Neurospora crassa OR74A: one gene and its partner. The protein of the gene in region 2 interacts with the protein of the main gene of each other region in a pairwise test. Links are inferred from orthologs where the notes say so. Each region holds a gene or a part of one and is shown on either strand. Other genes may lie near its edges.

Region 1 (3,891 bases), on a different chromosome or scaffold from region 2:
GGCAAGGCTGCCCCCAAGGGAAAGAAGAAGTAGACCGCCTGATGGTGGTCCAGACCAAAAATACAAGCTACGGCACATGTATTGACTTGGCTTGGTATTCGAAGCTGTAGTTGCGTTTCATATGACTGGGTTAGATTGGGTGAAGGGGCTCGGTTCACCACTGAGAAGAGTCCAGGGAGGGTTAATGCAGTTGGCTCGCGGCGTTTCCGTTGTGTCGTATTCATGTTGCGGTCTCGGTGATGGTTATCTCACCTGCCGTCATTTAGCGAGGGATTTCTCTGCCTACCTGAGGAACAAAAGATATCCTTTTGGTCAAATCCGTTCTCTGATGGATGAATAGGGCATGATGTGCGCAGTCTTGTACTTCCTTTACCCCTGTATTATTGTTTCCACTTGTGTTGGATTCTTATTGACCATAAGGGAGTGAGTAAGCAATTGGCGAAAGACCTCTACTTATAACGTCCAATCTGATATCACATGAACGAGGTTGCGCAAGATAGTAAGCAGAAGAACGACCGAATTCAACTATGACAAATGACTCTTCTGTGCTTCGATAGGGACCAAAGGTTCCTTTCGTGACAAGATGGAAATTACATATCCGCTCTCCGCGCGACTCACTTGTTCGTTCGTTTGCTTCACATCGAACCGCACCACCTCATCGCTCCAATTTTTGCTCCTTTTCACTTTTTTTTTCACCAAATATTGGGTGGAATCGCCCAAATTCTCAGATTAGGTTGCCTGAAAAAAACGCCGTTTGTGAAATGCCCATTTCCCCCAAATTGTTGGATCCCTGGACGCGCGATGTAAAATAACCCGTTTGCTCATTTCCTTCCTCCGACAAGTCGAGAGAATCCTGAACTCAATAACACGACACCCATATTTCGTCCCGCGAATCGCCTTTCCGCCCCTTTCTGCCGCCCCTCCTCGGATCCTGCTTGCTGAAAGTCCGAAAGTTTCGATCGATGTCGATAGAAGGGATCCGTTTAGGCAGAAATGGTCTGCTGTTGTTGCTGGTTGAGCTTGTTTTGCCTCTCCCTCTCGACCTCGTACATAAAGTCAAAGTAACCCTTGTCGAAGTGATGGATACGGACGTAACCGTCCTCACCACCGCTGGCGTAGCTCTTGCCGGTCGGGTCGGCGGCAACCGTGTTGAGGGGACCGAAGTGACCGCGCACACGACCAATTTCGCTCTCGAAGATCTTGTGGTAGAAACGCGCCTCGAATTTACCCTGACGCGCGGAGGTGGTGGTGACATCCATGGCAGCCTGACCACCACCGAGAATGACGAAGTCCTTCTTGCGAGTGATGGTAGCGCTGTTAAGAGGGGTGTCGGCGGGGTAGGTCTTGAGGACCTCCAGGTCCTTAGCTGTGATGAGCTGTGAAAATAATCAAGGAGTGTTAGCATGCGATTGACTGTTCATTGATTTCGGTTTTAAGGATCCGGGAAGAAGACCAAAGAAAGAAAAAAAAAAGGGGGGGGGGGGGGGTTGTGGAGCCATGTGACATACCTTGGAGGTCTTGTCCTTGGAGGCGGTAATGAAGTATGTACGGTCGTGCGACCACTGGAGATCGGTGATGGGCTGGTTGAGCTCGTGGATGGGGATGTTGTAGAGGAGGTCGCCGTTCTTGCCGTCGAACTGGGAGACGGAGCCGTCTTCGTGGCCGGCAATGATGTACTTGCTGAGATAACTCCAGCCAGCAACAGTGGCCTTGCTGTCCTCGCAAACGATAGTCATGGCCTTCTCATCGCTCTGCTCGGCGTCAACATCGAGCTTGATGTCGAGGACAACGATGGTACCCAGATGACCCATGCGCTTCTCCGTCACACCCAGAAGCTTGCTGCCATCCTCACTGAACTCAACGCGCTTGACGGCGGTAGGGAAGTCCCATGTCTTAAGAAGTCTGCCGGTCTTGATCTCCCAAAGGCGGATGGTGTTGTCGGCAGAACCAGAGGCGAGGATGGTGGATGTGGGGTCGACATCAATGGTCCAGATGGCGCCCTGGTGGCCGTGGTATGTACCGAGACGCTCGCCGTTGTGCGCGAACCAAACGCAAATCTGCTGGTCCTTGGAAACTGAGAAGAGCAAATCACCGTCGCGGTTGTACCTGTTGGGGGTAAAGGGTTGCTGTTAGAGGCTGCATCTCTATATGCCCGACATGCCAAAGCCAGAACACCAAGAGGGGTCGGGTCGGCGGGTAAGGTATGCGATGATGATGCGGAGGGAAGACGAACTTGATCTGGGTGAGGGCACGTTCGTGGCCCGAAAGAAGAATGGGCCTCATCTTGATTGTGGGTTATTAAATATGACGAGGCGTGGACGGCGGTATGGAAGTGTTATGGTCGTTAGAAGACACTGAGTGGATTCGTCGTCGAGAAATATCGCGGGGGGGGGTTGCACGACTTGGGAGGTAGGTGGGTGGATTAGTGTCTTTGTAGATGCGGTCGTCGTCGTCGGATCGGTCTTTGGTGTTCTTTCTTTGGGTGGATTTCCACTCCCAGTAATTTTTCCGCAGATTGTGCGCGATAGGCTGGCTGGCTCTGGCGGATTCTGACGGCCGCGGGGCGAACCAACACCTATCCCTGCAGATGCCAAGCTGCCCCTCTCCAGTCCCTCGTCCCAGCCAGCCGTGTGCCATCCATTGAAGCTGCTGGTTTCAGTTCGGACCGGACTCTGGACCTTGCGATGCAGCCTGCCACCTCGATCCGCCGCTCGCAGCCTGCCGGCCCGTCGACAGCCACCGATAAGAAGTTGTGGCTCAGTCTGTGACTCAGAGTTTAAGAGTCAGCTGTATTCGTCAAGCCTGTGCCGCGGCCGCAAGCCACACCAACTTCAATCTAGAACAACGACACAGACAGGACAGTGCGAGCACATCATGATCCGAGCTGCTACCTGCAGCAAGCCGAGAACTTGTAGAGTCATGGATGCAGCATCTAGACACCCACTTCAATTGCAGTTATATGAATGCCCTCTTCCGGGGGTCGCATCGAGGAGGAAAAGTTCTTCAACTCTCGGAGATTTGTAGACGGAAATAGAGGCTTTTCTAACGAGACATGGTAGGATTCTTGCAAGAATGCATGGTGAATACGTACTATTTTGAGAAGCTTGGGTTTGGGCTCTATTCTATTTAGGTTATCTCATTGGCTTCACGTTTTGTTGTCACATTTACACTGGTCATTTGCGGCACGTCTTGAGACGCTCACCTTCGGTGACTCCTCGAGAAGGGAAAGAAAGAAAAAAAAAAGAAAAAAAAATCACAAATCACGAAACCTCTATTCCCGCCAGCAAACCGGCGATCATTGGATCCTCGACATCGATCCCCCGTCGTCTACCTAGGCGGGAACCCATTGTGACTCTTCTGTGCGGCGCAGAAAACCCCTGGGTCCCGAATCCGTCTGGTCCCACCCCGTCGTGGAGGTGCCCGGGGGCGTCGAGAGAGCTTGGCCGGGCGGAAGTCTTGAGCTTCTGAATATCCCTTACCCCGAGCCTGCGTCCGCTGCTGTTCAGTGTGATGTTGTTACAGCACGCACGCAGAAAGACCACTGCACCCTTCTTCTAGCTCTACAGTACCAGTCTGCGTCGTGTAGGCATGGCCATCTCCAGCTTCATCCAGAGGGTGTCTTCCACGTCAAGGAAGTCGCGTCGAGCCGGAAGCTGTCTCACATCCCTGTCCGCACACGGGTCGCTGAACACACGGCGGCGCATTCAAGTCGAGCATACGGGACAAGACGTGCTCAAAAGATGGACATTGTCGTGGGGCACGGAATCCGACTCTCGGAGCTCTACCTCGGCTTTCGTCGCCTCTGCAGCTGGTACCACTGACTTCTCCGCCGCCCCGCGATCCACCTGCAGCCGCCCTAAGAAATCCCGTTATTGGCGCCTATCTCCAGTG
Region 2 (4,273 bases):
TCATGCGGATCTTGTTGCTGTCAAGGGTCTCGATGTCCTCACCCTGAAGTTCCTCAAGCTTCATATCCTTGAGGAGGGCTTCAACTTCCTTCCTCTTGATTTGCTCGCGCTCGTTGGCAAGACGCTTCGCCTCGCGGAGCTTCTGTTCCTCGGCAAGACGGGCGGCCTCAGCCTGTTGGAGGGCCTGCTCCTGGAGCAGCTTCTTGCGAGCGTTCTCCTTCTCCTTCTGGGCCTGAGCCTCAGAAGCCTTATCCTTGCGCGTCTGGATGATCTCCTTGCGAGCAAGGACCTCCTGGTGCTCCTTCTCGGCTCCAGCCTTAGCACGAGCAAGGGCCTCATCACGAGCCTTGATGCGAGCCTCGTTGAAGCTAGGATCGATATAGCGGCAGGTGGTGTAAAGAGCCTCAGCGAGGCGAGTGAGCTGAGAGCGCACAATCTGGGAGGGAGTGCTCTGGAGACGCTGTACAGAGCCAGTCTCGCTCTCGGCAGAGCCGGCAGAGGAACCGGCGTGGACAGCCTTGGCGGAAGAGAAGACATCAGCATCGAAGCTAAGAACGCCAGTGGCGTGGTCCATGCGGATGGCGAGATCGCCCTTCTTGTTGCCGTTCATAATGAACTTCTCAATGGTGCCGCGAGTGACCTGGAAAGGCTCGGGGAATTGAGCCAAGCTCTCGACGAACTCAAGGTCGACAGTCTCATACACCTGCGAAAGCTGCTGGAACAGGCGGGTGAGAATGACCTGCTGAAGAGGAAGGATGTACTTCTGCATCTCGGCATCGGCGCCAATCTCCGCGAGAATGGGGGAAATCTTCTGGCAAATGGAAAGAGGATGGAAGTCGACCTCGAGGATGTTGTAAAGATCGCGAATCTGGGGCTGGGCGCGGCGGAGAAGCGACTTGGAAAGGGCATCGCGGAAGAGTCCAGCACGGGTAGGAGCCTGGGCCATGCCGAGCAGGTGGGTCAAACGAGAGTTCTTGTTCTTGCGGGCCTCATCGAAGTCCACCATGGCACCGCGAGAGCGCGAGGTGCTGATGACGGGAATGGAGAGGGCGGAGAGAATGACAAAGGTGGCAGCCCTCTGGAGGTCAGCATCGCTGCAAGCCGGGTTATCAGCCTTCTTGCTGTGGCCAGAAGCAATGAGAGCAGCAGACTGGCGCAAGAGGTTGTAGTAACGAGCCCAAGCAGCGGCGTGGAAGAGGTAGTTCTCGCCGACAAGGAAGATACGGGTGAGCTTCTCGTAGTAGTTGGCCATCATGACGTTCTTGGCGGGGCGCTTGCTGAGGCTGAGGAGGGTGTGGATATCCTCAACACTGCGGAAAGCCTCCTGCCAGAGCTCGAGCTCAACGGCGACGTTGAGCTGCTGGAAACGGGTCTCAAGGTGACGCTGAAGAGTATCGGGGTCGTTCAGGTTGATGGCGTGCATCTGGGCCGAGTACTTGGCGGCGGTCTGGACATGGTTGCGGAGAAGCTCGCAGAGGCGGCGGAACTCGGTCTTGCGGGTGTACTTGAGGCAGAAGTCGAAAGCCTGCATAGCGGTGCTCTGATAGAGAACCTCGAGGCGGGCATTGTTCCTGAGAATGTCAAGAACAGTGCGGTAAGCCTCCCAAAGGAACTTCAGCCAAGGAGTGACGATAGCGCGGTCGGTGCGGTCGCGAGACTGCTCACCGGAAACGGTAGCGAGCAGGATGGACTCGGGGGTCTCGCTGGCCTCGAGATCGTCGATGTTGGAGGTGGTGGCCTCGATGCTGGACTGGACCTCGTCGGCCTTGGCCTGGGCAGCAGTGACCTTCTCGGCGGCGAGCTCGATGAACTTCTTGAGAACCAACTCGATGGTGGCGACGTTGGTGTTCTGGGCGATGTTCTTGTACTGGTAGAGGGCGTCCTTGGCGAGCTTGCCCTTCTTCTGCTCGACGGAGAGCTCGACGAGTAGGAGCATGACGGGCTCCAGGGAGGCGATGGGGACATTGCGGGAGCGCTTCGAGGTGATGTGCTCGTGGAGCAGGGTCAGGGCGGCGGGGGCCTGGTTGACCCCGATGAGCTCGTGGGCGCGCTTGAGAACATTCTCAGGCTTTTGGTGAGGTGGGGGAGGCTGTTGATGATCAGTAATGGTCACCACGGGTCACAACACACGACGACACTTGGTGGTGAGCGGGACAGGCGGGGAGCGGGGGTGGTCGAGGGTTGAAGGGGGGGGTGGAGGGCAGGGTGGGCGGTGATGAGGTTAGGTGACGATGGAGTTGGCTTTCCAGTCAAAGGAGGGGCAGAAGATTATATGAACTCGAAGCCATAACCATAAGGCTATGGCTGTATTCCCAACTCACCATGATGGGCAACTCCTCGGCACTTGGCTAATCTGGAGGAGATATGGATAAAGTGGTGATAGGGGACGCGGCGCGCAAAGCAGCACGTAGAAATGCTGGAGACTTTGGCTGAGGCTGCGCTGTCCAGGACGATTTTTTCGCCTCGTGGAGAAGTTCAGTTCGTTGCCAGCCAAAAAAGCCCTGGCCAAGGCTAGAGGCTCGATTTTGCTGAGGAGCACTTTGTGGGCTGGGATGATGCGGGACAGTCACGTGATGCAGCTTATCGAGCACGTCGCTGCGACAACAACTCAGAGGCGTGAAGTGCAAGTTGTTGTGCGAATGGATGTTTGGTCACTTCTGTAGCAATGGGGATTGACTGAGATGCAATTATTTTCTTGATCTTAACCGTGATCTGCTGTGAGGCTATTGTGCACAATGGTAAAAAGGTTGGATTGTCGCAAAGGGCAAGTGGGATGTTCTGCCATCTTGGCGTCTGGTGCTGTCCAGTCTGGTGTACACTAGAAAGGAGCTCCATGGTGTGTGTGCACAGCGGCTTTTGTTCTTTCTTTGTGCCCGAGTTCCCAGCCCGCTGGCGACGGGCGTTCTTCTCTGCCGGGCCACGGACCCCCGCCTTGACCGATGACGGACCGTCGGCGGTCTTGCCAAGCTTTCTCACGGCTGTCATCGACGAAATTGCACTTTGAGGCTTAGTTGGAACTTGGAACAGAATCGTGGTGCGAACTTCGGTCGAGTATTGAGAAGATAATCCCCAGTAAGAACATATATCCTCCTAAAAGGCATATGATATCGCTGCTTGAACTGCTAGAGTGGCTGCAAACTCTTCTCCTGTAGCTGAATGCACACCAGCAACTGCATAGGACTTCACGGTCTGTGATTACTGTAGTGTACATACATACATACATACATACATGCAGAAACAGGAGGCTCTCCTCTGTACCCTCGTCGTCCCACCCAGAGCGTTCAAGCTCGCGTCCATCATCGGTCGGAGCAAGTGGGCACCCACCCAATGGCGCCATTCCCAATCCCGTCCGGAGATGCCTGCTGAGCCGGGGTGGTTCCGCTAGACCATCAAAGGGGGGACGATAAAGTGGGGGCGGAACCCGTCGTGTTCTGACTGCCCTGCATTTGCCATTCTTGCTGCAGCTTTCATGCACAGCAGCACCGACAGATCCAAAAAAGGTCCCGTCGGTTGGTCGGACTAGTCCTGTCCCTGCCTATCCAGCGGCGGTGGCAGCAGTCCATCTTCAACGGCCTCCATCGTGCTTTTCTTTTCCTAGATCTTGACCTCCAGTCCCGCTTCCAGAAGCTTGCAACAATGTCAATCACAATGGCACGGATGGGGCAGGACAATAGGGAGGCCGGCACCTCATCCTGAATGCGGAGCTCGTGGTGATACTTGCTATCTTGTCTTGATACTAACTCGTCTGCACCCATTCCGTCTACGGTCGTAGTTAGTGTCGAGTTAATCTAACCAAACCCTGCTAAGCGACCCCCTGGTCCGTCTCATTTGCACTTGGCCCTTTTTTTCCTCGTCGCCCTGGGTTGCTTTGGCTGCCCAGAAGAGGAGTGCAGCACCGAAAGCGACCAGCATTGCAGCAGTGCAAGTGCAGGTAAAAGCGCAGCACTGCAGCAGGCCAAGCAGGGGGAGACTGGGGCGTCCATGCCTGCTGGGGAATTGCACGGACTGCACCCGCCTACCGAACCGTTCCCTGCTGCGCTGCTACTGGTTCTACAGGCTGCGCACTGACCCCCGTCGCGGTCCGGGGCCCGCCAGTGGCACTGAAGGAATGAAGGAACTTCCATATGGGCGCCCCTTCTCTTCCCAAGACTTGCTATTAGGAATCGTCAATCGTGTGTCGGTCCTAAGCATTCCTGGCATCGTTGTCCGCAATTCCTCCCTCTCTTCAATCCTCGGGACAGTCAATGATCCATTTGCGCCTTCTCCGACCCTT

What was found. The genes of interacting proteins can lie anywhere in the genome.
Region 1: the proteins of NCU00040 (region 2) and NCU03876 interact in binary tests that used the Saccharomyces cerevisiae proteins (3 or more experiments, as listed by UniProt). The link is inferred for Neurospora crassa OR74A from reciprocal best matches to the Saccharomyces cerevisiae genes RPG1 and TIF34.

What each region holds. Positions count from the first base shown.
Region 1 is NC_026506.1:1,995,036-1,998,926, forward strand, and holds NCU03876 (eukaryotic translation initiation factor 3 subunit 2), read right to left. Parts: upstream 2,546-3,891; 5' UTR 2,284-2,545; coding exon 2,234-2,283; intron 2,107-2,233; coding exon 1,509-2,106; intron 1,377-1,508; coding exon 984-1,376; 3' UTR 501-983; downstream 1-500. Other genes in the region: crf4-1 (chromatin remodelling complex ATPase chain ISW1), read left to right, coding at 1-33; NCU03877 (C-1-tetrahydrofolate synthase), read left to right, coding at 3,589-3,891. UniProt on the Saccharomyces cerevisiae protein: Component of the eukaryotic translation initiation factor 3 (eIF-3) complex, which is involved in protein synthesis of a specialized repertoire of mRNAs and, together with other initiation factors, stimulates binding of mRNA and methionyl-tRNAi to the 40S ribosome.
Region 2 is NC_026503.1:2,375,198-2,379,470, forward strand, and holds the start of NCU00040 (eukaryotic translation initiation factor 3 110 kDa subunit), read right to left. Parts: upstream 2,801-4,273; 5' UTR 2,325-2,800; coding exon 2,322-2,324; intron 2,090-2,321; coding exon 1-2,089.